Linked DNA regions of Lonchura striata. Each later gene encodes a partner of the first gene's protein in a complex. Links are inferred from orthologs where the notes say so. Each region holds a gene or a part of one and is shown in the gene's direction. Other genes may lie near its edges.

The links.
Region 2: EXOSC3 (region 1) and EXOSC4 share a complex: the UniProt entries of both Homo sapiens proteins name them as parts of the RNA exosome core complex. The link is inferred for Lonchura striata from reciprocal best matches to the Homo sapiens genes EXOSC3 and EXOSC4.
Region 3: EXOSC3 (region 1) and EXOSC1 share a complex: the UniProt entries of both Homo sapiens proteins name them as parts of the RNA exosome core complex. The link is inferred for Lonchura striata from reciprocal best matches to the Homo sapiens genes EXOSC3 and EXOSC1.
Region 4: EXOSC3 (region 1) and EXOSC7 share a complex: the UniProt entries of both Homo sapiens proteins name them as parts of the RNA exosome core complex. The link is inferred for Lonchura striata from reciprocal best matches to the Homo sapiens genes EXOSC3 and EXOSC7.

Annotation. Positions count from the first base shown.
Region 1 is NC_134609.1:7,919,370-7,926,409, reverse strand, and holds EXOSC3 (exosome complex component RRP40), read left to right. Parts: upstream 1-4,020; 5' UTR 4,021-4,034; coding exon 4,035-4,301; intron 4,302-4,388; coding exon 4,389-4,538; exon of another isoform or gene 4,539-4,568; intron 4,569-5,081; coding exon 5,082-5,233; intron 5,234-6,647; coding exon 6,648-6,849; 3' UTR 6,850-6,945; downstream 6,946-7,040. Other genes in the region: DYDC1 (DPY30 domain-containing protein 1), read right to left, coding at 9-89, 1,419-1,529, 1,662-1,808. UniProt on the Homo sapiens protein: Non-catalytic component of the RNA exosome complex which has 3'->5' exoribonuclease activity and participates in a multitude of cellular RNA processing and degradation events.
Region 2 is NC_134603.1:819,366-826,599, forward strand, and holds the start of EXOSC4 (exosome complex component RRP41), read left to right. Parts: upstream 1-4,223; coding exon 4,224-4,394; intron 4,395-5,476; coding exon 5,477-5,695; intron 5,696-7,234. UniProt on the Homo sapiens protein: Non-catalytic component of the RNA exosome complex which has 3'->5' exoribonuclease activity and participates in a multitude of cellular RNA processing and degradation events.
Region 3 is NC_134609.1:18,916,874-18,924,071, forward strand, and holds EXOSC1 (exosome complex component CSL4), read left to right. Parts: upstream 1-4,424; 5' UTR 4,425-4,449; coding exon 4,450-4,480; intron 4,481-4,683; coding exon 4,684-4,799; intron 4,800-4,972; coding exon 4,973-5,047; intron 5,048-5,625; coding exon 5,626-5,714; intron 5,715-5,928; coding exon 5,929-5,962; intron 5,963-6,087; coding exon 6,088-6,138; intron 6,139-6,216; coding exon 6,217-6,301; intron 6,302-6,404; coding exon 6,405-6,562; 3' UTR 6,563-6,696; downstream 6,697-7,198. Other genes in the region: palmitoyltransferase ZDHHC16, read right to left, coding at 92-139, 361-494, 699-727, 933-1,021, 1,208-1,402, 1,907-2,143. UniProt on the Homo sapiens protein: Non-catalytic component of the RNA exosome complex which has 3'->5' exoribonuclease activity and participates in a multitude of cellular RNA processing and degradation events.
Region 4 is NC_134603.1:111,683,160-111,690,873, reverse strand, and holds the start of EXOSC7 (exosome complex component RRP42), read left to right. Parts: upstream 1-4,687; 5' UTR 4,688-4,707; coding exon 4,708-4,764; intron 4,765-6,076; coding exon 6,077-6,178; intron 6,179-6,837; coding exon 6,838-6,932; intron 6,933-7,714. UniProt on the Homo sapiens protein: Non-catalytic component of the RNA exosome complex which has 3'->5' exoribonuclease activity and participates in a multitude of cellular RNA processing and degradation events.

The DNA of each region.
Region 1 (7,040 bases):
GGTCAAACCTCTTGATCTTCCTGCTGCAACTGCATTTCAGCTTCTTTTTTCTGTGCTTCCAACTCTGCAAGTTCTTTCTCCAATTGAGCCTGCAATCAGTTTAAGAAAGGACAAATTATAAAGGAAACAAGCCCCACATTTATCTTTTTCACCTCATTGTTTACAAAGTATTTAATATTGAAATAAAAAAGTAAACATAAAACATAACTGCTATGTTATGCAAATAATAAAGTCCTTTCAGTATCATCTGGTTTGACATTTTCAAAGGTTTGAGACTCTTATGGATAAAGAGGCTTTACTACCAAGAGGAAGATAAAGCAGTTAAGTGAAGTTAGTGTACACACTTCAGATCCTGTCTCATTACACAAGCTCTTTATCAATCTGTATTAGTTATCTCCTATCCTTTGGATTAAGCTCTTTGATACTTTGTGTAGCACCTAGCACAGATGGATGAATCAATATAGAATCAAATCTATAGAAAAATTTGGCAAGCAATGTCATTAGCATTAATCATGTCCATCAGCAACCTTTAGTACTTACAACTGGAAATATCTAACGGGAAGTGTTTATTAATTGTGAACATAAGTCCTATCACATCCAAACTTCAGAAACTGCATAATCTAAGTATTTACATTCAACAACCTTAGCAAATACTATTTGCTCTTGCATTCTGTGAGTAGTTACAATTATGGTCATAATTTTCTATTCCTTTATGGTACATAAAAGCAAAATTTACCTCAATATTTGACTACAGCCAAAACTGAGTTAGGTTAAAAAAAAAATGTATCTAATGTGAGTATAATTCTCAGTGAATTATCTCTGGACACAATCTCTTTATTTTCATTTACTATTTTATATCACTCATGAAACCCTTAAGCACATTACTCTTAGTTTGTAAATTACTAAAGGCCAAATTTTAAAACTGCAAACGAAATAAAATGAATGCATCTTACACTAGAGCTGGGCATAATGTGATCAGCATAAATTTAAAATTAAGCTTTTGATTTTAACTTTATGAAAGTCATCCATACAAGAAAACCAGTCAGGTCACACCAACATCACTATGTCAACACTGAGTTCATATGATTCCTTTACAAAGAATGGCTAAAAACACAGATATTGTATTTACTTCTGATACTGTAAGCCCAAACAGTATTTTCAGTTACTTCTCACGTAACTCCTAAATTGGCTGCCTTTTAACTTAACAGCCATCATTTTTTAATAACATTTTACTCCATAGTATGTAACTTTTCCTACCCATGTGCTGACTAATAATTTTAGTTACTCAGAAAAGTGAGATTGAAATACTTGCTTTATGCCACCTTTATCAAAATCATTATATAGCTATTAGAAGTATACAAAGAGCTCCAAGATGCCACAGCACCATATGCTGCTTGGAGTTATCTATTATTAATAACCTGACGTTGTTCTTCAAGTTTCCGCTGCTCTTCTTCCTGGATTTTTAACCTTTCAAGTTCTGCTAGGGCTGCCTCCCGTTCTTGCTCTATCTCAGCTCTCTCCAGCATTCTCTATTTCAGATGTAACACAGAATCAATTAAACATAAAAATGAAAGATATATTAAATAGCATCAACTATATTGTAGCAATCTTTTTTTTTTTCTTTTTTTTTTTTTTTTTTTTTTTGCCTAAGTTAGATCTACCTTTTTTTCTTCATCTAAGTTTCTTCTGTAATTGTAAATCCAGTGTGCAAGATACTCTATTGGATCTGCTGGCCGATGCTCTACAACCTCTGCCAGTCCCTTCTTCAAACAATTTCCCAGGCATTGCTTCAGATACTGAGACTCCATCCAAATCTACTGACAATAAACAGACAGACATTAGACATCAATGTTAGAATTAAGTTAGGGGCTCTAAGAACTCTTGCTTCAGGTGCCAAACACTGATTATGACAATACTTTTTACTAAGCCTTCAATTTATACAAGAAAGTTATTTAGCAGTAATTTAGCTCTTAAAGGCGCCAGTGACAGCTCAGTTATAACAATCACTGCAGAAAAAAAAAATGCTTAAACCCCACCTTATTGTTTGGACATGTATAATTCATAAAGTACTTGGAAACACACTGCTAATTCTAGGGCTGCATGATAACAAAAAACAAAAAAAAACAAAACAAAACAAAAAAACCAAACCAAACCAAAACAAAACAAAAAAAACAACATTGAAAAGCACAACAGGACATTAAAAACTTCTATGCAGAGAACAGGCAACTAACTCTGAGGACAATTAAGGGTAATTTTAGTTTGAACTGTCAAAGCTATCTTTAAGAGATGTGTGCAAGGCGAGGGTCTGAACGCTCTACAGTTACGAAAGGCACAGATCTCTGCACACACTCCACCAGCCCAGTCTAAGTACACAGGAGCCGTCCTTTGCTGCCAAGGGGGCTGAAAACGTGCCAGGGCAGAGAGCCCAGGCAATGAATTGACACAGTGACTACAGCCCATCCTCCGCGTTCACGGGGGCTCCAGGTGGCCTTAGTGTGCCCACCCTCGTAACCCGGAGCCGCCGCCCACGCCCCCCTGCCCGGGCTCCTCAGCCCTGCCCCGGGGCGCGGAGCCCGTTACCCGCCTCCCTCACACTCCGCCAGTCCCCGGCAGCCGGTGCTGCCTGCTCCGCTCTGCTGTAGCCGCCCGCCTTCCCTCGGACAGCAGCTCCCGGAGCGCCGGGGCTGCAGCCCCCGGCCCGGCCCGGCCCCGCTCCGCTCCTACCAGCGCGCGGGGTTGCTCCGCAACAGCGGCGGCAGCGCAGCGGCCCCAGCGCCGCCCGCAGGAGCGGACGGAGGGGTGAAGGGCCTGGCCGGAAAGGTCCCCGAGGGCACAAAACCGGGAGGAGAGGCCGAGACCTCAGAGGGTTTTGTGGCCCTTGAGAGAGACTTGAAAAAAATGGAGTTGAATGAGCAGAGAAGAAACTGAAATTCAGCTATGGCAAATGCAGGGTATTGCACGTGGGGAGGAATAATCCCAAGTGCTGGGGGTAATCTGCTGGGGAGCAGCTCTGTGGAGGAGGATCTGATGGACAACAAGGTCTTGCAGCAGTGCCCTTGTTGCCAAGAAGGCCAATGGTACCCCCGGGTGCATTAGGAAAAGCACTGCTAGCATGTCAAGGGAAGTGAATCTGCCCGTCTGCTGAGGTTCTGCCTGGAGTGCTGTGTCCAGTTCTGGGCTCCGCAGGGACAGAGAGACATGAAGATCTGGAGTGGGTCCAGCAGAGAGCTATGAAGATCATTAAGAGACTTGGGCATCTCTTATAAGGAAAGAGAGAGCTGAGCCTGCTCAGCCTTGAGAAGAGATGCTTGATAGAGGACCTTATTAATATGTATAAATATCTAAAGGGGAGGTGCCAAGCTCTGCTTCGTGGTGCCAACCACTAGGACACCAAGGAATGGGCAGAAACTGATGCATAGGAAGCTCCATTTAAACAGGAGGCAGAACTTTACTTTGTGCAGGTGACCACACACTGGAACGGATTGCCCAGAGAGGTTGTGGACTCTATCTAGAGATACTGAAAACTGTCTAGATGCAGTTCTGTGCAACGTGCTCTAGGATGACCCTGCTTAAAGCAGGGAGGATGGGCCAGATGACCCATTGTGATCCTTTCCAACTGTTTTAATACCATCTGTCTGTGAGCAGTTTCCCTTCACAACTGATGTGATCTTTTTTGCTCCCTGCCAAACTCATCGGCTGACGGTCACCTCATATTTACCAGCTGTTTGTTTTGCTGTCAACTTCTAATCGGGTATTCAAAACCCTTGTAACTGCAGCTGGAAGAATTAGCTCCGTGTGTTTATTAATTCCGACGCGTAAGTGCGAAATGAACATCACCTTGGCCGCCCCCCGGCAGAACTGGAAGGCGGGCTGCTTCCCGCAGGAAAGGCAGGCGGCTGGCGGAGGCGCCGTGAGCGGCGCGGGGCCGGCTGCAGCTCGGGGACCGGCCGGGCGGTGTCGCTGGCGCGCCGCGGCCGCTCCGCGCAGGGCGCGGGGCGCAGGGCGCAGCCGCCGCCCCGGCCCGAGGCGCGGCCATGGCGGCGGAGCGCGGCGCGCCGGCCGAGGCGCTGGTGGGGCAGGTGGTGCTGCCCGGGGACCTGCTGCTGCTGCCCGCGCACTACGACGAGGACGCGGAGGGCGAGCGGCTGCGGCTGAGCGCGGGCACGGCGCCGCAGGGGCGGCTGCTGTGCGGGCCGGGGCTGCGGCGCAGCGGGGCCGGGCTGCTGGTGACCAAGTGCGGGCTGCTGCGGCACCGGCCCGCGGGCGGCGGCGCCTTCTGGGTGGACTCGCAGCAGAAGCGGGTAGGGTCCGTGTGTCTGTGTGTGTGTCTGTGTGTCTGTGTGTTAGCCCGCGCTCCCCTGACCCTCTGTCCCCCTCGCCCGCTGCAGTACGTGCCGGTGAAGGGCGACCACGTCATCGGGATCGTGACGGCCAAAGCGGGGGACGTGTTCCGGCTGGACGTGGGCGGCAGCGAGCCCGCGTCCCTGTCCTACCTGGCCTTCGAAGGTGCCACGAAGAGGAACAGGCCGAACGTGCAGGTGGGTGCCCTGCTTCGCTGCCGGTGACGCTTCAGCTGCGTCCTTTGGTGGCGCCCGTGTCGCGTTCCAGTGGCTTTTCTTAGGGGAAGTTAGGGGAGGTCTGGTTCTAATGGTTTCGCCTTGGTCCTCCTCAGAGCGTTTTGCACCACTGGCCGCGGCCTCTCTGGGGTTTTTTAGGACCGTAACTAGCGTGGTTTGTTCTCTCTCAGCTGGCTGGGTGCTTCACTCTCATGTGTTGGTTTGCCAGGAGCAGATGCAGTTCATAAGGTGCCTCCGAAAGGGCGCTCCGATGTTAGGGTTTTAAAACGTGATGCTGGTAGAAAATATTAGTTGTGTGGGTTCTTTTAACAGCGCTGTTATGAATGGTTGTGTTGCACATGCATGCCATAGTTTCTGCACTCCCATGAAATGCCATTACCAGAATGTAAAAGGTAAAACTGTAAAGAAAAACAAAATCGGTGTGATATTTTTTATTGTTGTCCTGCTAAATGATTATAAGAGATAAAATCCTGTACTTTTGTTCTTTGACACTGTTTTGTTTAGGTGGGAGATCTTATTTATGGTCAGTTTGTTGTAGCAAATAAAGACATGGAACCAGAGATGGTGTGTATAGACAGCAGTGGAAAATCAAGTGGCATGGGAATAATTGGACAAGACGGCTTCCTCTTTAAAGTTTCCTTAGGTCTAATAAGAAAGTAAGTACTAAAAATGTAATTAGTCACTCTCACGTATAAATTACCACAGCTGTTTCTTCTGAGTAGTGTGGGCAGTTTGGTAAATCAGACTGTGTGATTCTTGTAGTGCGTTGAAACCAGATTTACTGAATAGAGTATGGATTGATCTAGAAGAAAAGTTTATTTTTTCTTTTAAGAGACTTAGAAGCTCTTTTGTATGGTGTTACATCACCTGTTTAAAAATAGTGATGTGGATGCCAAGGCAGTATGGAAAATAAAAGTAGTGTCTTGGGGTAGTCAAACATTCAGGATAGTGTTTCAGCTATGTACATATTACCTTGGAGTTTAAAACTTGGCAATGCTTATTGTCCTTGTTCTGTTTCGTGGGGGTAATAGAGGGTGTATGTTTGGCTGACAGCTGATTAAAGGGATCTTTGCACATCAGTACACATTATTTTCTGACTTCCAAATAAAAATAAATAACATTGAAATACAGATTTTAAAAATGTTGGATTTTAGTTTAAGGCTGACACATAAATCCAGGAACTGTTTCATAAGCTTTTAAATGTATTGTGAACTTTGGAGTTGCTTATGCTGATGTAAATACATGACTTTTTTTTTTGTGACTGTTAAAGTATACCAGATTACATGGATAAACAATAGTCAAAATTTGTTTTTGCTTTTTGGGTGGAGTTTTTTGTTTGTTTTGTCATTCTTTGGATAAGCAATCTGGCACTGCAGAGCAGCTTTTTCATACCTGGCATTGTCTGATTTATATGTCCTATTAGAAGTCAGCATGAACTGATACAAAAGCTTCTTGCAGCCATTCTGTTTTCCAAGTTTTGTCTGTATACAAGTAAAAAAAATAACAGCATATTACAAGTAAACTGCTAAATACTGGTATGCTTTTATTTTTTGTGAATACTTGTCTAATCTTGATTTAATTCTAGACGCATTACAGGATTTAGTATGTTGTCATCTAATAAAAATGAAGTAGGCTATTTATTGCTGTTAATACTGTTTCCTGAAATAGAAGGGAAGTCCTGTTTTGAAAGACACCTCTGGGGTGTCAAATAAATAGCACATCAAAAATGTCATTTGGTCAAATTGTGTACTTTTAGATTTATTTGCTCATAGAATTGTGTGTAAAAGTATCAATTAACTTTAAACTTATCAGGGATTGCTTCTGAATCTAATGACAAAAGTAAATTTATAATGGCTTTATTTTTTTAGGTGCATGCATTTTATATGCCAGGAGCCTTGAAAATCTGATACTGTATTGCTATGTTGGATGTATATAGAACTTTATAATCTTTCAGTGTTTCTTAAATGGCTCCCATAATAGCAGTACTGCTGGAGCTACTGGTCAATAATAATGTGGTCTCTGTAAGCATGATCACTCCTTCCTCTGACTTTTTTTTTGTCTTGTTCACAGGCTCTTGGCTCCCAAATGTGAAATAATTCAAGAGTTGTCACAATTGTACCCATTTGAGCTGGTGCTGGGAATGAATGGAAGAATATGGGTAAAAGCTAAAACAGTGCAACAGACTTTAATTATAGTAAATATTTTGGAAGCCTGTGAGTATATGACTGCACAACAGAGAAAACAAGCGCTTGCCAAACTGTCAGGGAACTGATAAGAGAAAACCTTGAGGATTGTTTGTGATGACTGTAGGGTGTTTTGGTTATTTTTGTATTCAGATTTATATATTAAAAGCCTTTTTTTAAATGAAGTACTCGATTTTGGTTGGTCTTCATTTCCCTTCTTTATCCACTCAGCTTGATTCTGTGTTGTTTAAGGAGTTTGTTTTGACTCGCTTTTGTGGTT
Region 2 (7,234 bases), on another chromosome or scaffold:
GGTGCTCACCAGGTCGAAGAGGCGCGGGCGCGCCTGCGTGCCGATGTGCAGCAGGTGCTGGTGTGGGGTGGGTTTGGGGTGGGTTTGGGTTGTTGGGTTTGGGGTGGATTTGGGTACAGGTGAGTGCCCAGGTGAGTGCCAGCCGTGCCCAGGTGAGTGCCAGCCGTGCCCAGGTGTGCCCAGGTGTGCCAGGTGCTCACCAGGTCGAAGAGGCGCGGGCGTGCCTGCGTGCCGATGTGCAGCAGGTGCCGGTGTGGGGTGGGTTTGGGGTGGGTTTGGGGTGGGTTTGGGTACAGGTGAGTGCCCAGGTGAGTGCCAGCCGTGCCCAGGTGTGCCCAGGTGCTCACCAGGTCGAAGAGGCGCGGGCGCGCCTGCGTGCCGATGTGCAGCAGGTGCCGGTGTGGGGTGGGTTTGGGTTGTTGGGTTTGGGGTGGGTTTGGGGTGGGTTTGGGTACAGGTGAGTGCCCAGGTGAGTGCCAGCCGTGCCCAGGTGTGCCCCAGCCGTGCCCAGGTGCTCACCAGGTCGAAGAGGCGCGGGCGCGCCTGCGTGCCGATGTGCAGCAGGTGCCGGTGTGGGGTGGGTTTGGGTTGTTGGGTTTGGGGTGGGTTTGGGGTGGGTTTGGGTACAGGTGAGTGCCCAGGTGAGTGCCAGCCGTGCCCAGGTGAGTGCCAGCCGTGCCCAGGTGTGCCCAGGTGTGCTCACCAGGTCGAAGAGGCGCGGGCGTGCCTGCGTGCCGATGTGCAGCAGGTGGCGGAAGCCGCGGGTCACGGCCAGCGCCGCGCGCTCCCCGCGCCGCTGCAGCAGCGCGTTGGTGGCCACCGTGGTGCCCATGCGGATCCACTGGATCCCGGCGGCGTCCAGGGGCTGCTCCCGCGGCAGCGGCACCCCCAGCTCCTGCGGCACCCCAAAACTGAGCCCCGGCACCCCAAACTGAGCCCCGGGACCCCAAACTGAGCCCGGGGACCCCAAACTGAGCCCCGGCACCCCAAACTGAGCCCGGGGACCCCAAACTGAGCCCCGGCACCCCCAGCTCCTGCGGAACCCCAAAACTGAGCCCCGGGACCCCAGACCCACAGCGGCACCCCCAGCTCCTGCGGCACCCCAAAACTGAGCCCCGGCACCCAAAACTGAGCCCCGGCACCCCAAAACTGAGCCCCGGGACCTCAAAATTCACCGGGGACCCCAAAACTGAGCCCCGGGACCCCAAAACTGAGCCCCGGCACCCCAAAACTGAGCCCCGGGACCCCAAAACTGAGCCCCGGGACCCCAGACCCACAGCGGCACCCCCAGCTCCTGCGGCACCCCAAAACTGAGCCCCGGCACCCAAAACTGAGCCCCGGGACCCCAAAACTGAGCCCCGGCACCCCAAAACTGAGCCCCGGCACCCCAAACTGAGCCCCGGGACCCCAAAACTGAGCCCCGGCACCCCAAACTGAGCCCCGGCACCCCAAACTGAGCCCCGGGACCCCAAAACTGAGCCCCGGCACCCCAAACTGAGCCCCGGCACCCCAAAACTGAGCCCCGGCACCCCAGACCCACAGCGGCACCCCCAGCTCCTGCGGCGCCCCAAAACTGAGCCCCGGGACCCAAAACTGAGCCCCGGGACCCCAAAACTGAGCCCCGGCACCCCAAACTGAGCCCCGGCACCCCAAAACTGAGCCCCGGCACCCCAGACCCACAGCGGCACCCCCAGCTCCTGCGGCGCCCCAAAACTGAGCCCCGGGACCCCAAAACTGAGCCCCGGGACCCAAAACTGAGCCCCGGGACCCCAAATTCACCCGGGACCCCAAAACTGAGCCCCGGCACCCCAAACTGAGCCCCGGCACCCCAGACCCACAGCGGCACCCCCAGCTCCTGCGGCACCCCAAAACTGAGCCCCGGCACCCCAGACCCACAGCGGCACCCCCAGCTCCTGCGGCACCCCAAAACTGAGCCCCGGCACCCAAAACTGAGCCCCGGGACCTCAAAATTCACCCGGGACCCCAAAACTGAGCCCCGGGACCCAAAACTGAGCCCCGGGACCCCAAATTCACCCGGGACCCCAGAGCCACAGCGGCACCCCCAGCTCCTGGGGGGTCCCCAAAACTGAGCCCCGGGACCCCAAATTCACCTGGGACCCCCAGCTCCTGCAGGACCCTAAAACTGAGACCCAGGACCCCAGACCCATTTGGGGACCCCAGACCTATTTGGGCCCTCCAGACCCATTTGGGGACCCCCAGACTTATTTGGGGTCCCCAGACCCATTTTGGGGTCCCCAGACCCACTTGGGGACCCCCAGACCCATTTGGGGACCCCCCGCACGGGCTGGGGCAGGGGGTCCAGGCAGGCCCAGGGCTGGGGGGCTTAGGGGGGCCGGGAGGGGTCTGGGGGTTCCCCACGGGGGTCCCGGGATTCCCCACGGGGGTCCCTGTGAGAGGCATTTGAGGGGGGTCCCCGTGGGGTCCTTTGGGGGTTCCCGGTGGTCCCGGGGAGTTCCTCAGGGGGGTCCCTGTGCTCCCGGGGGTCCCAGCAGGGCACTCGGGGGGTCCCGGGGTCCCGGTGACCTCGGGCGGGTCCCGTGGTACCCCGCCGTGTCCCGGGGGTCCCGGGGATCCCGGGGGTCCCAGCAGGACACTCGGGGGGTCCCGGAGATCCCGCCGTGTCCCCGCCGTGTCCCGGGGGTCCCGGGGGTACCGGGGGTCCCAGCAGGGCACTCGGGGGGTCCCGGGGGTCCCGGTGACCTCGGGCGGGTCCCGTGGTACCCCGCCGTGTCCCGGGGGTCCCGCTGTGTCCCCGCCGTGTCCCGGGGGTCCCGCCGTGTCCCGGGGGTCCCAGCAGGGCACTCGGGGGGTCCCGGGGGTCCCGCTGTGTCCCCGCCGTGTCCCGGGGGTCCCGCCGTGTCCCGGGGGTACCGGAGGTCCCAGCAGGACACTCGGGGGGTCCCGGGGGTCCCGCCGTGTCCCCGCCGTGTCCCGGGGGTCCCAGCAGGACACTCGGGGGGTCCCGATGTGTTCCCGCTGTCCCCCCGCCGTGTCCCCTCGCTGTCCCCGCTGTCCCCCCGCCGTGTCCCCTCGCTGTCCCCCCTGTCCCCCCGCCGTGTCCCCTCGCTGTCCCCCCTGTCCCCCCGCCGTGTCCCCTCGCTGTCCCCGCCGTCCCCGCCGCTCCCGGGGCCCGGGGGTCGCTCGCACCTCCTGCAGGACGCGGCGGATGCCCTCGGTGGGCGCGTCCCGGTACGCCGGGTCCTCGGAGAGCAGCTTGAGGACGCGGACGCGGCCGCCGGGGCAGCGGGCGAACACGTCCGTGAAGGTCCCGCCGCGGTCGATGGCGAACTGGAACCCGGCGGGGGCGAGCGGCGCCGCCATGGCGGGACCGGCACCGGCACCGGCACCGGCACCGGGAGCGGCGGCCCCGGGGCTCCGCTCCGGCCTGGACAAGGTCGGGCCGGCCGGACAGGGGTCAGCCGGGGAAGGGTCGCTCCGGTCCGGTCCGCTACCCCCGGTGAGCGCTCGCTGCCGCTGGGACAAGGGCTCGGCGCTGTCCGGGAAGGACCGGTGCCGGTTCTGCCCCGGTGCGAGGCTCGGTGCCGGAGCCGCACGGGTCGGGACGGGCCGGGCTCGGAGCCGGGCCGTGCCGCGGGGTCCCGGTGCTGCCGCTCCGCCAGGGGGCGCTGCGGCCGCCCCGGTCCCGCCCGGTCCCGTTGGGTCCCGTTGGGTCCCGTTGGGTCCCGTTGGGTCCCGTTGGGTCCCGCCCGGTGCCGCGAACCGGCCGAGGGGCGGGGCCTCGGGGGGGCGTGGTTTAGGGCGTGGTTTAGGGGCGGGGCCTCGGGCGGTACCGGGGCACCGCCCCGCGGGGGGCGTGGTCTCTGTCCGGGGGCGTGGCCCGAATGGGGCGTGATCTGTGTGGGGTTGCGTCACAAGGGGCGTGGCTTCCGCCGCGGGAGCGTCACGGGGGCGGTGCCTCCCGTTGGCGGGCGGCTTGCGCGGGGCACGCCGGGAGTTGTAGTCCCGCCCCTCACGCGGCGCCGGCATGGCGGGGCTGGAGCTTCCGTCGGGCGCGGGGCACGCCGGGAGCCGTAGTCCCGCCCCTCACGCGGTCCCGGCGCGGGGCACGCCGGGAGCCGTAGTCCCGCCCCTCACGCGGTGCCGGGCGCGGGGCACGCCGGGAGCCGTAGTCCCGCCCCTCACGCGGTGCCGGGCGCGGGGCACGCCGGGAGCCGTAGTCCCGCCCCTCACGCGGTGCCGGCATGGCGGGGCTGGAGCTGCTGTCCGACGCGGGGTTCCGGGCGGACGGGCGCCGGCCGGACGAGCTGCGCAAGGTGCGGGCCCGGCTCGGGGTGCTGGCCCGGGCGGACGGCTCGGCCTACCTGGAGCAGGGCAACACCAAAGTGCTGGCGGCCGTGTACGGCCCGCACGAGGTGAGCGGGGCCGCGGCGCTTCTGAGCCTCTCCCGGGGCTTGTGAACTTCCCCGGGGCTTGTGAGCCTCTCCCGGGGCTTGTGAGCCTCTCCCGGGGCTTGTGAACCTCCCCTGGGGCTTGTGAGCCTCTCCCGGGGTTTGTGAACCTCCCCTGGGGCTTGTGAGCCTCTCCCGGGGCTTGTGAACTTCCCCTGGGTTCGTGAATCCCCTCGGGGCTTGTGACCCCCCCTCAGTCTCCCCCCTCCTCCCGGGACTTTCAGGGTCCCCCATTCTGAGCCCCCCTCCCCAATTTGTGCCCTCCCCCCATTTCTCTCCCCCCCCCCCACTTGTGTGGGTCCCACGCCCCCCCCCCCCCCCCAGCCCCCCTTTTTTCCTTGCAGCTTTGGGGGTCCCACAGCCTCCCCATCTCCGGGTCCCCCCAGTCCCTGATGTTTACCCCCCCCCCCCCAGCTCTGGGGGTCCCCCAGCCCCACCCTTTGTGTGCCCCCCCACTCCCAGCCCTCCAATTTCCCCCCCAGCTCTGGGGGTCCCACAGCCCCCCATGTCCATGCTCCCCCCACTCCCATCCCCTTTTCCCCCAGCTCTGGGGGTCCCACAGCCCCCCATGTCCATGCTCCCCCATGTCCGTGCCCCCCACTCCCATCCCCTTTCTCCCCGCAGGTTCGGGGGTCCCGGGTCAAGCCCCCCCCCATGTCTATTCTCCCCACTCCCATCCCCTTTCTCACAGGTTCGGGGGTCCCACAGCCCCCCCTGCCCGTGCTCCCCCCACTCCATCCCCTTTTCCCCCGCAGGGTCGGGGGTCCCACAGCCCCCCATGTCCATGCTCCCCCCACTCCCATCCCCTTTCCCCCCAGGTCCGGGGGTCCCACAGCCCCCCATGTCCGTGCCCCCCACTCCCATCCCCGTTTCCCCCGCAGGTTCGGGGGTCCCACAGCCCCCCATGTCCTTGCCCCCCACTCCATCCCCTTTCCCCCAGCTCTGGGGGTCCCGGGCCAAGGCCCCCCATGTCCTTGCCCCCCACTCCCATCCCCTTTCCCCCCAGGTCCGGGGGTCCCACAGCCCCCCATGTCCTTTCCCCCCAGGTCCGGGGGTCCCGGGCCAAGGCCCCGCCGGACCGGGCGCTGCTCAGCTGCCGCTGCAGCGCGGCGCCGTTCGCGGGGGGCGGCGAGCGGCGGCGGCGCCCGGCGCAGGGCGGCAGCGACCGGCGGGCGGCGGAGCGAGCGCTGCTGCTGCGGGGCGTGCTGGAGGGCGCCGTGCTGGCACAGCTCTACCCGCGCTCGCAGATCGACGTGCACGTACAGGTGACCCTGTGGGGGTTTGGGGGTGTCCTGGGGGGTTTGGGGGTGTCCTGGGGGGGTTTGGGGGTGTCCTGGGGGGTTTGGGGGTGTCCTGGGGGGTTTGGGGGTGTCCTGGGGGGCTTTGGGGGTGTTTGGGGGTGCCCTGCTGCTGCGGGGCGTGCTGGAGGGCGCCGTGCTGGCACAGCTCTACCCGCGCTCGCAGATCGACGTGCACGTACAGGTGAGCGGTTTGGGGGTGTCCTGGGGGGGTTTGGGGGTGTCCTGGGGGGGTTTGGGGGGGTCTGGGGGGGTTTGGGGGTGTCCTGGGGGTTTTGGGGGTGTCCTGGGGGGGTTTGGGAGTGTTTGGGGGTGCCCTGCTGCTGCGGGGCGTGATGGAGGGCGCCGTGCTGGCACAGCTCTACCCGCGCTCGCAGATCGACGTGCACGTACAGGTGACCCTGGGGGGGGTTTGGGGGTGTCCTGGGGGTTTTGGGGGTGTCCTGGGGGGGTTTGGGGGTGTCCTGGGGGGCTTTGGGGGGGTTTGGGGGTGCCCTGCTGCTGCGGGGCGTGCTGGAGGGCGCCGTGCTGGCACAGCTCTACCCGCGCTCGCAGATCGACGTGCACGTACAGGTGACCCTGGGGGGGCTTGGGGGTGTCCTGGGGGTGTTTGGGGGTGTCCTGGGGGGGTTTTGGGGGTGTCCTGGAGGGGTTTGGGGGTGTCCTGGGGGGCTTTGGGGGTGTTTGGGGGTGCCCTGCTGCTGCGGGGCGTGCTGGAGGGCGCCGTGCTGGCACAGCTCTACCCGCGCTCGCAGATCGACGTGCACGTCCAGGTGAGCGGTTTGGGGGTGTCCTGGGGGGGTTTGGGGGTGTCCTGGGGGGTTTGGGGGTGTCCTGGGGGTGTCCTGGGGGGGTTTGGGGGTGTCCTGGGGGTTTTGGGGGTGTCCTGGGAGGGTCTGGGGGTGTTTGGGGGTGCCCTGCTGCTGCGGGGCGTGCTGGAGGGCGCCGTGCTGGCACAGCTCTACCCGCGCTCGCAGATCGACGTGCATGTCCAGGTCAGGGCTTTGGGGGGGATTTGGGAGAGTTTGGGGGGATTTGGGGGATCCTGGGGGTTATTTTGGGTGTTTTGGGGGATTTTGAGTCACCCCTTGTCCCCGAAGGTGCTACAGGCAGACAGGGGTGAGCTGGGGGCCAGCGTCAGCGCGGCCAGGCTGGGGCACACAGGATCTGTGGGGTGTTTTGGGTGTTTCTGGGCTGTTTTGGGTGGATTTTGGGGTGTTTTGGGTGTTTTTGGGGTGTCTCTGAGTGCTCTTCCCCCCAGGTGCTGCAGGTGGACGGCGGTGAGCTGGGGGCCAGCGTCAGCGCGGCCGGGCTGGCGCTGCTGGGGCACTCGGGCTCTGTGGGATTTTTGGGTGAATTTTGGGTGGATTTTGGGTGGATTTTGGGAGTTTGGGGTGCCCCTGACCCCGCTCTCCCCCCAGGTGCTGCAGGCGGACGGCGGCGAGCTGGGGGCCAGCGTCAGCGCGGCCGGGCTGGCGCTGCTGGGGCACTCGGGCCCCTGTGGGG
Region 3 (7,198 bases), about 11 Mb from region 1:
TCCTTGAGAACAGAGCCCCAAGCAGGACCCAGCCTGCACGGCAGCTCTGCTCCACACTGCCTGGAGAAGCTGGGGGGCAGGGATGTCCCACCTGGTTGGCAGCCACCTGCAGTCTCTCCTTCTCAAGCAGTTTCATTCTCTAGGGGGATGGAAAACAGGGCACCAGTTATGTGTCTCAGAGGAGTGGGACAGGGGCCCTTCCCCTCGCACCCCCCTAGGACCATAGCAGCTGGGGGCCTTGCAGGAGGAGGAAGAGGGAAAGCAAAGTCACTATATGGCTGGGCCTGGCCCAGCCTTGCTCTGCAAGTTCAGCCTGGGGAAGCCAGGCAGTCTTGGCGCATGGCAGGAGAGGCTGCTCACCTCAATGGCTGCGTAGGCATCCCGGAACATCTCCCAGCCGCTGATGCTGCAGTAAATGCAGCCCATGGTCATGAAAAAGCAGAAGGAGAAGAAGTAGCGGTGGTTGTAGTGTCCCACACAGTTGTTTAGCCAGGCTGCCTCTGGGGTTAAAGGTACATAACTGTGACAGACCATGGGTCCAAACCCAACCCAGGGACCAGGGCAGTTCTTCTGCGCCCTGCTCCCAACACCCATTCCTATGCTGGCTGTCTCCTCAACAGAAGGGACTGGGAGAGAAGGGAGAAGCAATGCTGGCTCCCCCCAGGAGTGTGCCACTGGTTAGTACTGCAGAAGGATACGGCAGTGGTGGTCCATCTTCAGCACACACCTGGGAGAGAAGAGACCAGTGCCAGTGTCAGAGCCAGTGCAAGTGGTGTGTTTGGGAGGGGACAGGCACCCCCCAGCCCTGCAGGCTACAAGCGACAGGGCAAGGAGGTGGCAGCGCAGAGGAGAAGGGCCCCTGTCTCACACTGGGGCAGGGGGTGAGGAACAGGGTTCCAAAGGCTGCCCTGGGCAGAGGGAAGGTGCCCTACCTGTTGCAGATGCTGCAGTGATGGGTGCGAGCTGGCTTAGGGGCAATGCATTTTCTGCAGATGGACACGCCAGTGAGGTCGTTCTTGGCCTGTGCACAGGTCAGAAGAGATTTGCACATCTTAAACCCTGCATCTCAAACTCCTGCTCTCCTCTGTGCCACCCCGCTGCCTCCCCACTCTGCACTGCCCAGCCTAGCTTCCCAGATTAGAGGCATCCTGCAACAACATTATCAGGCTGTTCCCAGTGACCATCCATAGCTCACTTGGTGCCTCACCTGTGGTGGGTGCCCAGGTGAAGTGGTGATAGCCATGTAGTAGTGGAAGACAATCATGATGAGGTTCCAGTGTCCATAGGCGAGGTGCCAGCATATCCAGGCAGGTGTGTAGGTCTGCAGGATGAGGGGCAGCAGACAGATGTACACGATGGCCACAATAGAGCTCGTCAGCCCAATCACCAGTGCCACAAACACCTACAGAAAAGGGACCTGGGTCACTGTGTGGGTCTCAGATTCAGTCAAAGAAAGAAACTGAGAGTTTCTGGCCAGGCAAAAAGCCTGGGAAAGAATGTAAATAATCCTTTATCTCTCTTGTTTTTCACACTGTTTATAGTTCTATCACTGTGCATCAAGCACTTTGCACCAATGCTGTAGGTTGTTTTCACTTCAGAACCAATGGATTTGATCATTGCGAAGCTCTGTATAAAAGAGCAGCGTATTTTGAATAAATCGGAGTTTTACTCTCAGCAGCCTTCTGAGTCAAGTCTATTCATTCCCATCCTGCCTCGACAGAGATATCACTGGAGTGGGCAGAGCCTGCCCCTTGCTGCCTGGGAAGAGGCACGGGCAGGACAGAGCCAGAGGAAACCAATCTGAACCGCACACTAAGGCTGCAGCTCACTTCCTGCCCGAAGGACAGGCAGCCCTGAGCCCGCTGCCCCAGCACCACGTGTACCCTGCCCCATGAGGGGAACTCACCACACCAAACCATCGGGTGACGTGGTCCACCAGCCAGTAGACCGGCTCGAAGAGGGAGTCAAGCACCACGTCGCCATTGGTGAAGGAGTTGTAGAGCAGGGAGCGGAGGCAGAGGTGCCCGTAGTGCCACAGCTGCTCCACCTGCCGCACCAGCTTGAACCGCCGCCGCCGCCCCAGCCGCAGGCACTTGAGGAGCAGGCGCATCACCGCGGCGAACATCCGCTGCCGGCTCCTCATCCCCGCCACACCACGCCTGGGGGGACAGGAGCTCGGCGTGGGCAGGGCACCCTGCTGCCTGGCTGTGCCTCGGGAAGGGCTTCCCCTCCCGGCCGTGCTGATGCCGGTAGTGCAGCTCCCTGAACCGACAAGGATGCCGAGCTGGAGAAGCTGAGCCCAGGCTCCTGCAGGCTGCGGGGCCGCTGTCGCCGGGATGTCTCTTTGCACGGAGCAGGGGGCACAGGCCCCTCAGCATCTGGGCTCAGGTGCTCTCTGGTCCCATCTCGTCTTTCCCAGCGGGGAGGGGGCCGGGGGAGCGACACGGAGAGTCTGACTCAGAGGAAACCAGAGAAGGCATGAACATCCAGGATGCTGGGCCATTTCCAGAGATGATTTCAGCCCTTCCCAACATGTTCATGAACAGGGGAATCCACACAAGGAAAATGTGGAGGAGACAGTACAGGATTACCCCTCCTCCCCTAGCCCCTCCTTAAAGTGAAGGATGCTACTTCCCTTCACCTCAACTTCTGGACCAAGCTGGTAGAGGCCACCTTCCCAACCTCACAGCCTCACTCCAAGAGTCCCAACATTTCCTCTTTCTCCTTGCCTGAATCATTGAACAGTACCACACACTAGCAAATGAGAGGCCCAGGGACAGCCCCGGGCCAGTGCTCCCCTGCCCGCTGAGCCCCTTGTCCTGCCTGAGAGCTTTGCTGGGAGTGACGAGGAACCTGATCTGGCCCAGCACATGGGAAAACGATCTGCAGGGCTGGGGCCCCCAGGCCTCTGTGCAGGCAATACCCATCAATATTAAGCAGCGAGGCTGCCCCGGGGTCCTGCCAAGGCACGTTCTGAGCTTGGGCCAAGCACTTGCCTTGGTCTGGTGCCAGGCACCGGTGCCAGAGCTCAGGGTGCCTCCAGCAGGGATCGTCCCACTGCGCTGAGGTGCCCACCAACACAGCCCCTGGGGAGCAGCAGGGAGGGTGAGGGCAGAAACTGCACCATCCACATGGGCTGCCCAAAGAAGCCAGGGCTCTCCTCCACCCTGGGCCTGAGGAGTGTGGGGTTGACCCCAAAGTTGGGATCTACTGGACATGAGGACCCCACACCCAGCAGCCCATTCCAGGTCACAGACATGGCTCCTGCCCTGGTATGGCAGAGGTGGGATATGCAAACATCTGCATCACCCTCTTCTCCACATTTCCCCTTTTGTATGCCAAGAGCTTTTCCTTGAAGCTCAGCAGGTGCAAAATAGAGCAACAACTTCCTGCCGTTCAGCCTTTGGATGGCACACGTCCCCGTTTTGTCAGTGTGGTAAAAGACAAATCACAGCAGCCAGAAGCAGCTGTTGAGGTCAACCCTTTCCTCCAAAGACACAGCACTTTCCTGTCCCACAGAGAAACTTCCTCACCTACAGCAGCGGCAGCTGCTGGGCAGGGAACCCACAGGGGAGGCAGGAGCCCGCTCCAGAGCAAGACCCGCTGTCCCCAGGCACCTGCCTGAAGACAGCAGCGTAAGCACAGACACGAGGCTCCAGCAGAGCCACGCAACTTTCTCCTGCCCAGCCGGGCCCTGGGATCCACCCCTCGCCCTGCTCACGGCGCGGCACCGAGCCCATGGGAACGGGACAGCAACCAGCACAGACAGGAGCACTGGCAACATCACACCGAGGGGTGGGGATCCTCGGATTTGGCCCCACCCCGGGCAAAGGCGAGGCCTTCCCCCGCCAGGTCCAGGCCCCCCGGCGCAGCCCTGTGGCACCCTCCGGTGGCTGCACAGCGCCCGCTCCCCCGCTTCAGCAGCATCCAGCCCCACTTCTCTGTCCAGAGCCAGGACATCCCGGTGTTTAGCCCCATCCTCAAAGGCTGCCCACGCCGGCAGCCGCACCGCCTCCAGCCCCGTCACAGCCCGCAGCATCCCCCCGCTGCCCCCAGCCACAGACCGCACCGCTTCCCGGCTCCGGCCGCACAGCACACGCAGCATCCCCATCGCCTCCCGGCCCCCGCGCTCCTCGCCCCGCAGCCCCTCTGTATCGCCGCCCAGCCCCGCGGCAGCCGCAGCCCCGACAAGCCCGCAGCCCCTCGCAAGGCCCCGGCGCCGCCGACCTGGGCCCGCGCCCGCCGCCGCCATGCCCGGGCCCCGCCGGCCCACGGGCAGCGCCCGCGCGCGGCACGCCGGGAGCTCCGTCTGCCGCCGCCGGACTACAGCCCCCAGCATGCCTCAGGTCGGCTAGGCGAGAACCAATAGCCGCGACGCTTACAGCGCAGAATTGACGTCCAGAACCAATAGGATGAGGGCTTGCTGGTGAAGCGTTGTCGGCCGCGGGCATGGCGCCGCCCGCGCGGTACTGCGTCCCCGGTGAGTGCGGCCCGGCGCTGTCCGGGCTCCCGGGACTGGGGATGCTACCGCCCGGAAAGGGAGCGCAGTGGGCTAGGAGAGGAGTAGGGACGAGGCAGTGCGGAGGGGCTTGTCCCGGGGATGCGCCGCACTCGGCCGGCTGGGAGCGGGAGCTGTGCCGGAGCGGGCCGGTCCCCGGCAGCCCCTGAGCCGCTGTGTCGCAGGTGAGCGGCTGTGCAGCACGGAGGAGGCCACGGCTGGCAGCGGGACCTACACTCGCCATGGCTTCATCTTCTCTTCGCTGGCTGGCTGCCTGGAGAGGAAGAACGAGGACAACGAGGTGAGCGCGGCCGCGGCACGGCTGCTCCTCCCCGGGGCTGCGTGCTGTGCACCCAGGCTGCACGGCCTCTCTGGAGACTGGGCTGCGGCAGGGAGTTGGACTCCGATGGGGTTCGGCCGGTGGTTCTGTGCACAAGCTGTGCCCTGTGCTGACGCTCGTGTCTTGCCCTGCAGCTGCCCGTGGTGTCGGTGGTGAGAGACAGCAAGTCCCAGCTCCTGCCCAACGTGGGGGCTGTGGTGACATGCAAGGTGGGGCGCTGGAGCACTGCGTTGACAAACTGCATGGGCCTCGACTCTGTCTCATACTGAGCTTTGTTCCTGCACACGGATAGGGTGGAGTGAGGAGTCCCTGGGCTTCTTAGTGCCTTCTGTACAACTCCCACCAGGGCAGGGGCAGCCCAGGGGCTCCCTTGAGTTTCTCACTCACCAAGTGGGTATTGGCATGAGGGACACCTGCCCTGAGACTGAGGTGGGCTTGAGGGGAGGATTTTCTTTGCTCTCCTTCCATAACTCCTTCCTGGGACAGGGAGTATGCAGGTCAGTGCCTCAAGCAGCTTGTAGAAAGGATGACATGGACCAGGGATTAGTTTCCTTACATTCCTAGTGGAGGGAGAGGGACTGAGATCACTGCAGGTCTCAGCCTTATTCTGGTGCCTCGAATTGCACAAATATAATCATCCTCACCTGGCTTGCTGCCAGGTGTCCCACCGTTGCTTGGTCACAGCGGGGAGGAGGAGGCCAAGTGAGACCTGAGCTCCCCATGCAGCCCTGCCTGCTCCCTGCCCTTTCCCTGCCTGGACCACTGATTCCCCTTTTCCTACATGCAGGTCTGCAGTATTAACTCTCGCTTTGCCAAGGTCCACATCCTGTATGTTGGCTCCACGCCGCTGAAATCCACCTTCCGGGGCACCATACGGTAGGGAAAAGGTTAGGATTCCCCACCCTTCAGGGGGAGGAAGGCTGTTGTGGGCAGTGCAGCTGGCTGCCCTGAGCTGGAACTCTGCCCTGAGCACTGGGCTGGTGTCCAGCGCGTCCTGGTGAGCACCCAGGAAGGCTGAGGCAGCTTCTGCCACAGGCGGTTGAGTTGTCTTTGCTCATTGGCACTCAGATCCCTCCATCTCCTTTTTCAGGAGAGAAGATATCCGAGCCACAGAGAAGGATAAGGTCAGTGAGCCACTGCCAGTTGCTGTTGTACACCCATTGCCCTCCAGTTCCTGCTTGTGGGGGCCCTGTCCCCCCACTGACAGCACCCTGGCGCTGTGTGGCATTGCCTGCTCTCTCCTGTGCAGGTAGAAGTGTACAAGAGCTTCCGCCCCAGTGACATCGTCCTGGCCAAAGTTGTATCCTTCCTCCTCAGGGACACCGTGTTGGCTCAAGCTCCCTTGTGGAAGTGTGTCCCTTAACCCCTGTCCAACCAGATCTCCCTGGGGGATGCACAGTCCAACTACCTGCTGAGCACAGCAGAGAACGAGCTGGGTGTGGTGGTGGCACGCAGCGAGGCAGGTAAGGGCAGGACAGGGACAGAGACAGGGACTGGGCTGAAACAGTTCTGCCTCATTCCTGCCTTGGGGGCAGCTGATGCAGCTGCCTCCCTCTCCATATGGAGGAATGCAACTTTGGGAAAGAGCAAGTCTGACATTACGTGCCCAGGGGTGCAGATGGTGCCCATCAGCTGGTGTGAGATGCAGTGCCCACGGACACACACCAAGGAGTTCCGTAAGGTGGCCCGGGTGCAGCCCCAGTTCCTGCAGACGTAACAGCTGAGGGGGGCAGGGGGCTGCAGCACTGTGGCTGTGGAGCCAGAGCAGCCCCTGGGCTCCCACCTCCTTCACAGGTTCAGCCAGGCCTCCACTGGCAGGATGGGTTTGCTACTTGTGGATAATAAATTTTTTTTGAGAGCTTCCTGCTTCGTTCTTTACAGTAAGTGGGGGAGCCAGGGCTATCCATGCACTCTGGTCTGGCTCCCACAGCACAGCAGGTGAGGGAACAGCTTCCACAGCAGCAGGGGCAGAAGGAAGCACATTTTCACTGCTGGTGAAGGGGAGTGATGGAGTGACTTTGCTGCAGTGACGCCAACAGCACAGAGCCCCAGGCTGCAGCTGTGTTGGGCACTCCTCACCAGGTTGGTTTCCCCACACAGGAGTCAAGCCTGGTGCAGAGCCTGTCTCAGCTCACCACTAACCAGTGTGGGCCGTGGCTGAGAATAGCCTGGGGACGTATCTCATCTCCTCAGGCCACACATGCTTGCCCTGCCCTATGGAACAAGGGTGTGGTACACACAGACCAAAAACCAGAGCATGGCAGGGTGTCACCCTCTTGGGCAGAGATTGCAGAGCTGAGCTTTGCTCCTTGAGCCTGGCACAGCTTCTGCACCCTCCTGTCTGTGCCCAGCAGGGATTG
Region 4 (7,714 bases), on another chromosome or scaffold:
AACGCATCAGCAAATTACAGGACCACTGCAATCCACTGACAGATCACAGGACCACGACGAAATCGCTGGAGGCTCCGACTTTAAATGTCCTGCCGAGGGGACTCGACGCTGCTCCGAAAGGCCGCGGAGCAGACCTAAACCACGTATTTAGCACGCAATCATTTAACGTGTTCAGCTTCCCAGTATTTAAAGCCCAGCGCTGGAAGGCGGCGAGGTGAGAGCGGGAGCCCTCCTCCCGTTTCCGGACCGATGCCCACAGGTCCTGGGGATGCCGCTGCGGGACACGACCCGCCGCCCGGCCCGGCCCGGGGCCCCGCCGAGGGATGTGGAGCCCCGCGCCGCCCTCGGGCGGCCGCGCCACCGCCGGGCTCCCGCACCGCCGAGGGGCCGCGCGGGCCGGGGACGGCGGGGACAGCGGCGGGGCCGGGGGGCTGGCGGAGCGGCGCAGGCGGCGGCGGGATGGCATCCACCGGCGGCCCGCTCCCGGTTCCAGCTCTCTGCTCCCAGTTCCCGCTCCGCCAGCGTACACACCTGCCCGCCCCCCAGCACCCCCCGCCCCGCGCTGTCAGTCGCACCCACCTACCCCAGTGGCCGCCGCCGCCGCCGCGGGTCCGGCGCGCCCCGCCGCCCCCGCGCCGGCAGCGGCGCGGCACGGCACGGCACGGCACGGCACCGCACCCCCCCTTCCGCCGCCCGCCCGCCCCTAGCGCGGAGGTGGAGCGGCCGCCGGGAGGAACCAGGAAGTGAACGGCGGCGGCGGGAGCAGCGCGTCCCCGGCCCTGCCCCTCCCCGCCCCGCCGAGCGCGCCCCGGCCAGGACGGGCACCGGCGGCTGCGGACCCTGTGCCGGCTGCGCGTTATCGGCCCAGGCGGGCGGGTGCCGGGGGAAATGCGGGCTTTGTGAGGAAAACACCACACTTTTTTGTTTTGGGTTCTGCCTCAGCGGGCACCTCTGAGCCCCAGGCGGGTTCAGGGTAGTTTTGGTTTGCAGGTATCCAAAATCTGTTAGCACTCGAGAAGTGCAGAGCAGTGAGGACGTCTGGGGAACTGCAGTATCATTCTTAGGAGGAAAGGCTGAGGGAGTTGGGCCTGTTCAGTCTCGAGATGAGACTACTGAGAGGGGACATCATTATTGTGTATAAATGTCTAAAAGGAGGGGCGTGTGGGTGTGCCAAAGAGATGGAGCTGGGCTCCTCTCAGCAGTGCCAAGCAGTAGGATGCGGGGCAGTGGGCAGAAACTGATGCACAGGAAGTTCCACCTTCACAGGAGGAAGAACTTCTTTGCTGTGTGGGTGACCACATGCTTGAAGAAGTTGTCCAGAGAGGTTGTAGAGAATGCCTCACTGGAGATACTCAAGAACTGTCGGGACACAATCCTGTGCCATGTGCACTAGGACAGCCCTGCTTGAGCAGGGAGGTTGGACTCGATGACCCACCATGGTCCATTCCAACCGTACCTGTTCTGTGACCGTGATTCTGTGACACAGCGCTCCACTGCAGCTGTCATGTTCAGAGCCAGGGCAAGGGCTGAGTTTGCTTGACACTCTCCATGTCAAGCCACCGCTTCCAGCCTTTGTGGCCTTGCCCAGGTATTAATCATGCAGTGCAAATCTTCACAATTCAGGGGGTTGCCTCAGGCTGGCTGTGTTGATTTGGCATAGCCTGTTTTTTTGGTAGTGGGAGACAGCCAGAAGTGGCTTCTATGAGAAGCTGCTTGAAGCTTCCACCACATCTGACAAAGCCAATCTCTCTGGTGGCTCTGAAGATGAACATGCTGCAGGCCCAATTAGACAGGTTGGTAATACCTCTATTTAAGAAGAAAATCAAAACAGCACACAGGCAGCTTTTTCCAGGGGTGGCAAGGTGCTGCCATTGGGGCCATCCCAGCACAGTGCCATTGCCATCTGGGCACTGCGGCCATCGCCATCTGGATGCAGCCTACAGCAAGCCTTGTCTGCTTGGCCACCCCAAGCCAACTGTGCTGCAAGCAGAAGGGCAGTGGGGGCACCTTCTCCTTCCTGGTGCCCCGCATGAGGAGAGGCACTCAATAACACCAGTGCTGCGGCAGCCACCACTGCCCATTGGTGGCTATGGGGCCACCTGGCCGGTGGTGAAAACACGGCAAGCAACTCCCCAGTGCAGAACCTAGACAAGATCAACCACTGAGCGCTGTAGGGTCCTGCAAGGATTTTTGAATTGGTGGAGCTTGTTTGCAATGGTACCTACAAGCAGCAGTTTTTCTCCTGGTCAGAGAAGAGGAGGAAGTGAGGACATGTGAGCATCCCGGTCAGTGGAAAAAGAAGGGGAGGAGGTGCTCCAAGAGCCAGAGCTGAGATTCCTCTGCAGGCCATGGTGAGGCCTATGGTAAAGTAGGCTGTCCCCCTGCAGCCATTGAGGTCCATGGGGGATGCGGAGATCTACTCACAGACCATGAGAGAAGTACACTGGAGCGGGTGGATGCTGGGGAAAACTCTGATCCAGTGGGAGACCCAAATGGAGAGAGAGGGCCCCTGCTTCCAAACTATAGCAGCCTATCCTCAGAGGACTGCACCCTGTGGACGAGTGACTCACACCACAGCAGTTTCAAAAAGACTGTTTGCCCATGGGAGGGACCCCAGGGCATAGCAGATGAAAGACTCCTTTCCCTGAAAAAACAGAAAAAAAATCTCAAGTGACAATCTGACCAAAACCCCCACACCCTGTCTCTCTGCATTGTTGGTGGGAAAGAGGGAGGGGCTGGAGAGAAAAAATGTTGGTTTAAAGGCTTATTTTACTTCTCATTATCCTCCTCTACTCTGTTAATAATAAATTTGCTTTATACCTTTAAATTTTAACCTGTTTGCTCTTAGTCCTCATCTCAACTCTTGAGCCCTTCATTAATTTTTTTTTTCCTCTCCTCTGCCCAGTTGAGAGCAAGAGAAGATCAGCAAAAGGCTTTTGTGGGTCAAACCATGGCCAGTGTCAAACCATGACATGGGCCAACACACATAATTCATTTACAATGAAATTAAAGATACTGCTTTGCCTTTAAAAAAAATCCCAACATACAAACCCCAACAAACCTAAGAAACAAGTGGCATCCTTTTTTGTATGATAAGTTTCATTACTGCCTCGTGCTGGAATTTTAATGTCCTCAGAAGTGCTCTTTAGGACAAAAGGTTGCCTTCTGCCCTCCTTGAGGAAAAACGAGCCAAATCTGTGCTCCTTCCACCTTTAAAAAACTGCTTTTTGCATGTGAACAAAATTTGTTAGCTGAGCCTCTGGACTATCCAAGAATTTGACTAACATTACGTAGACTACAAGCTGGGGTGGCAGAAGTGGGAAAAAAATTAACACATCACTCCTGCCTGGCAACTCTAACTGTTAGCTGCTGTGGGCTAAGCCATGAGAGTCAGGAACTAAGATAAGAGCCAGAATGTCATCTCCCTGTGGTCTCTCAGTGGAAATCACAGACTGCATCTGCATTAACACTATTTCAGATCAATAATTCACTCACATTTTCAGGGAATTTTTGATTTATTCCTACTTCTTGTTTGGTTCAGACTGCAATGTGAGGACACAGGTATCATACTACAAGTCAAACGAAGGGTCAGTCTGTGCTGGACAGCAGCACTGGTAGATGCTATTTTAGAGAGAACATACAAACCAGGGCCCTTTCATGTATGGCACTCCCGTGGGCCAGCAAGGAGACCTGACCCTGCTCACCTCCCCAGGCTGAGTGGAGAAGACAAGCTACCCAAGCTCCCAGCTCTGCCAGGCTCCACTGCTGGCTCTCCCCACCAAAAACAGTAAACAATCCCCATACAACCCTAGGTAAAACTTCCAAAAGCATCCATCCCTCCTGAAGTTTGCTCCCACTGCATCATGCCACCTGCTCCAGTAGGTACAGCCAGGAATGCTTTGCACATTTGATTTAACAAGGAGTTGTGGAAAGCTGGATAAACTCTGGCAGTGTGCTGAGTAATCCTTGGGAGCCATGGATCATTTTTAGCCAAGCAAGCATCAGCGTGAAGTCAAGATAGCATATTTTAAAATACTCTGAAAATTTTTACACAGGAGCTAGGCAAAAAGGCATGCAAACTTACACTAATGATTGTTATGAAACTTTCAATTAAAGCTGTCAAAAAAACCCAACCCTTAATTATTGTTTTAATATATAGCGCGAGTTTTTAATCACATTTCCCACTTTCCCAGTGATATCTGGCACAGGACCAACAGAATCTCCTAAGCATTTGGTTTCTTCCCTGCTCCCGCACCAGCCTTCCCCGCGCACCGCGCTTCGCTTGGACCTTTCTGAAGTTAAAAACTCCGCAAGGAAAAGGAGGAAACGCAGAAGACTGTGACTACGCGATCCATTTCTGCGCACCAGGGTATTTCCACAGCCTCCTGGAGGAGCTTTTGGCAGAAAGCGGGAGCTGTGGCTTTACCGCGAGGGCCAGCTTCTCGGAGAGGACGTTTCCCGGGATGCCCGGGGGGTACCGCGCTCAGAGCGCTGCACCAACTCCGCGCGAAAGCCTTCTGTGGCTTCCCGGCTGCACCCCCGCTTTGCCAGCAGGCAAGGGGAGCCGCCGCTGTGAGTGCCGGTGCCGGCTGGGCGGGCGGGACAGCCGCCCTGGCTAGCCGGCAGACGGACGGACGGACGGACGGAAGGCGGGCGGGAGGCGGGGAGGAAGCGCGGCAGTGCGCAGGTGCGGCGGAGGCGGCGGGCATGGCGTCCGTGGTGCTGAGCGAGGCGGAGAAGCTGTACATCGTGCACGGCGTGCAGGTACCGCGGGCGGGAGGCAGGGGAGGAGGGAGGGAGGGAAGGAGCCCTCCACCGCTCTGTCTGGTGGCGAGCCTCTGGAGCAGTACTCAGCACACCGAGCATCAGAACGGGAAGCAGGCTGAGAGCGGGACGTGGATTTGTTTTCACAGAATCACACAATATGCTGGCTCGGAAGGAACCCACGAGGATCACCCACTTCTGGCCCTGCACAGAGCACCCAAAGAGTCACACCGTGTGCTTGAGGGCATTGTCAAAAGGCTTCTTGAGCTCTGTCAAGCTTGGTGTTGTGACCACTTCCCATGGGAGCCTTTTCCAGTGTCCAGCCACCATCTGGTTCAAAAACCTTTTCCCGATGTCCAACCTAAGTCTCCCCTGACACAACTTCAGGCCATTCCCTCAGGTCCTGTCACTGGTCACCACCGAGAAGAGATCAGTGCCTGCCCCTCCTCTCCTGAGGAAGTTGTAGAGTGCAGTGAGGTCTCCCCTCAGTCTCTTCCAGGCTGAACAGCCCAAGTGACCGCGGCATCCCTTCAAACGACTTCCCTGCAGGGCCCTTCACCATCTTCATTGCCCTCCTTCGGATGCTTTCTAAGAGCTTAATATCCTTCTGCCCCCATCTGCTCCTCTTTCCTTGGTCTTTCCTGGCTCTTCCTCAAGTTACTGCCATTGGATAGAGTTTTAGCCTGTAACTTGGCGAAGGAACACGAGTGGACAATGGAGGAAGAGTGAAGGGTGTTTAAGGAGAAGCCCCAAAGATAAAAGAACTGTATTCTTACTGAAATTTACTGAAAACCTGTTTTTATGGGAATGAGCTGTAGAGTATCAGAGGATGTGTAATACTCATTTGTGGAATACAAATGGAGGAAAGCATTTGGGAGGCTGGTGTATTACTTTTGTCTGCTGGGGTCCTAATTACTGATGTAAAAGTACAGAACTTGCCTATCCAAGGAAAGAGCTGGGTTGCGTTAGGTAAAGTACCATTTAAAGCCAAGACCTTTACAGTTTTGAAATCCAAAGCTTTCTTTTGGGAATTAGAGGGACTTGGTGCAATTCATTGGTGCCTGCAGATTGCTTGTTACAAGCTCTACATAAATGAGATATAAATTAAAAAGTATAGTTTGTTCTTTTGTATTCCATGGTGAAACTACAAGTTTTTGCTTTTATATCCTTTTTAGTGCTGCATTTGGTATAGGAGAAGGAAAGTTTAAAGTCACAGAGTTTTTTGTTTGTGGTGGGGGTTTTTTGTTTGTTTTGTTTTGTTTTTACTTTTCACTACTGATTCCCTCAACAATAAATTGGTTGTCATACTTAGGAAGACCTTCGTGTAGATGGTCGAGGCTGTGAAGACTACAGATGTGCAGAAGTAGAAACAGATGTTGTATCAAACACAAGTGGATCTGCAAGAGTAAAGCTGGTAGGTAAATTTCTTAGGGATTGGGTACCTTGCTAATGAAATTGCTTCATGTGACTAGTTAATCTGATGCTATTTATAGATAGGTTTGTGTATAACCTGTATAACATGTATGTGTATAGCAGTAACTGAAACCATGGGATATGGAAATAATGGTAGGATATATAATTACTTCAGGCTGGCTCGAGCTGGATTTACTGTAAAGTGCCTGAACAGCCTTAAGTCTGCAATAATTTAACATTTAATCTTGAAAACTGAAGTTGCTTGTTGTGCCTAGTTTCTGGGAGGTGCAAAAATTTCTATTCCTTTAAAACGATGCAAAACTACTTCTGACATGTTGACTGTGAAGAAGATAAATGTACTGTGCACCATTATGAAGGTTCTGCAGAAAGAGCTGTTTGCAGAACCAAAATGACAGAAGTAGTCTTGGATATTAAGAATCTTTTTAACCTAAAGACAGGTAATATGTATGGTAATTGTTTGAAGAATCTTCTTACACTTAATATTGTCCTTCTAAAGCCTTTTGTTTTTTAAAAAAAATGTTAATTTTAAGTTCATTCTGATAGAATGATCAGATAACTGAAAGGTAGAAATGTCAGTTTACCGTAGACATTTAAATTAAACACACAGTTCTGTTGAGTGATGTGTTCTTGTTTTAATAGGGAGAAACTGATATCTTGGTAGGCATAAAAGCTGAAATGGGGACACCGAAGCTGGAGAAACCAGATGAAGGTTACCTGGAATTCTTTGTTGACTGGTTAGTATACTAGAAAATAATGAAATAGATCTAATACTTGGAATAAATTACTGATCAGGTCTTGCCATTCTTCAGAGGTTTATGCCTTCATTCCACTAACCTCCTCTAGGGGTTTGAGTGAGAGAAACAAGTTATTCTACCGTTTCAGTAACAGTGAATGTTGAGGAATTTTCTGCTGATCCTGCAAACCCAAAAGAAGCAAATCAGCAGGAGTTGAACAATCAAAACTAGTTAAATAAAACAATCCCAAATTGCATAGCATCACTGCAGCTGGAAAAGGGTAATGGTTCAAGTACACACGCTTGGAATGAGCCTTCATGATTAAAATGTCTAGCTGTTGTTTTTGCCATGATAAAATAGAGAAAATTTATTTAAAAAAAAAAAAGTTGGAAGAAAATAATTGACCAATGCACACTGTACTTTAACTATACGTAAAGTTTGGCTTACTTTGTCTGTGAAAGCAGTGGAAAAAGTTTGACATGTGTTTAGTACAATTTTTTTTTTTTTAAAAAATGAAAAACCTCAAATGTAAATTTCAGATGCAAAGACTAATTAGAAATTTTAGTTATATATTTATATGTGAATCCATCTTTCATTAACTAAAAGGGTGTTTATTTTTAATCAGATTTTTTGCATTTTGTTACAAGTGGACTGTTATTTATCCTTACACTCTTCATAGTGTTTGAATTATGCAAGAAGCTGGAAGAAAACAGAACTCTTGTTTAGAGGTTGCTCTGAGATATCACAGTGATATCTCAATGTTAGTCTAAATTGTCTGCAGC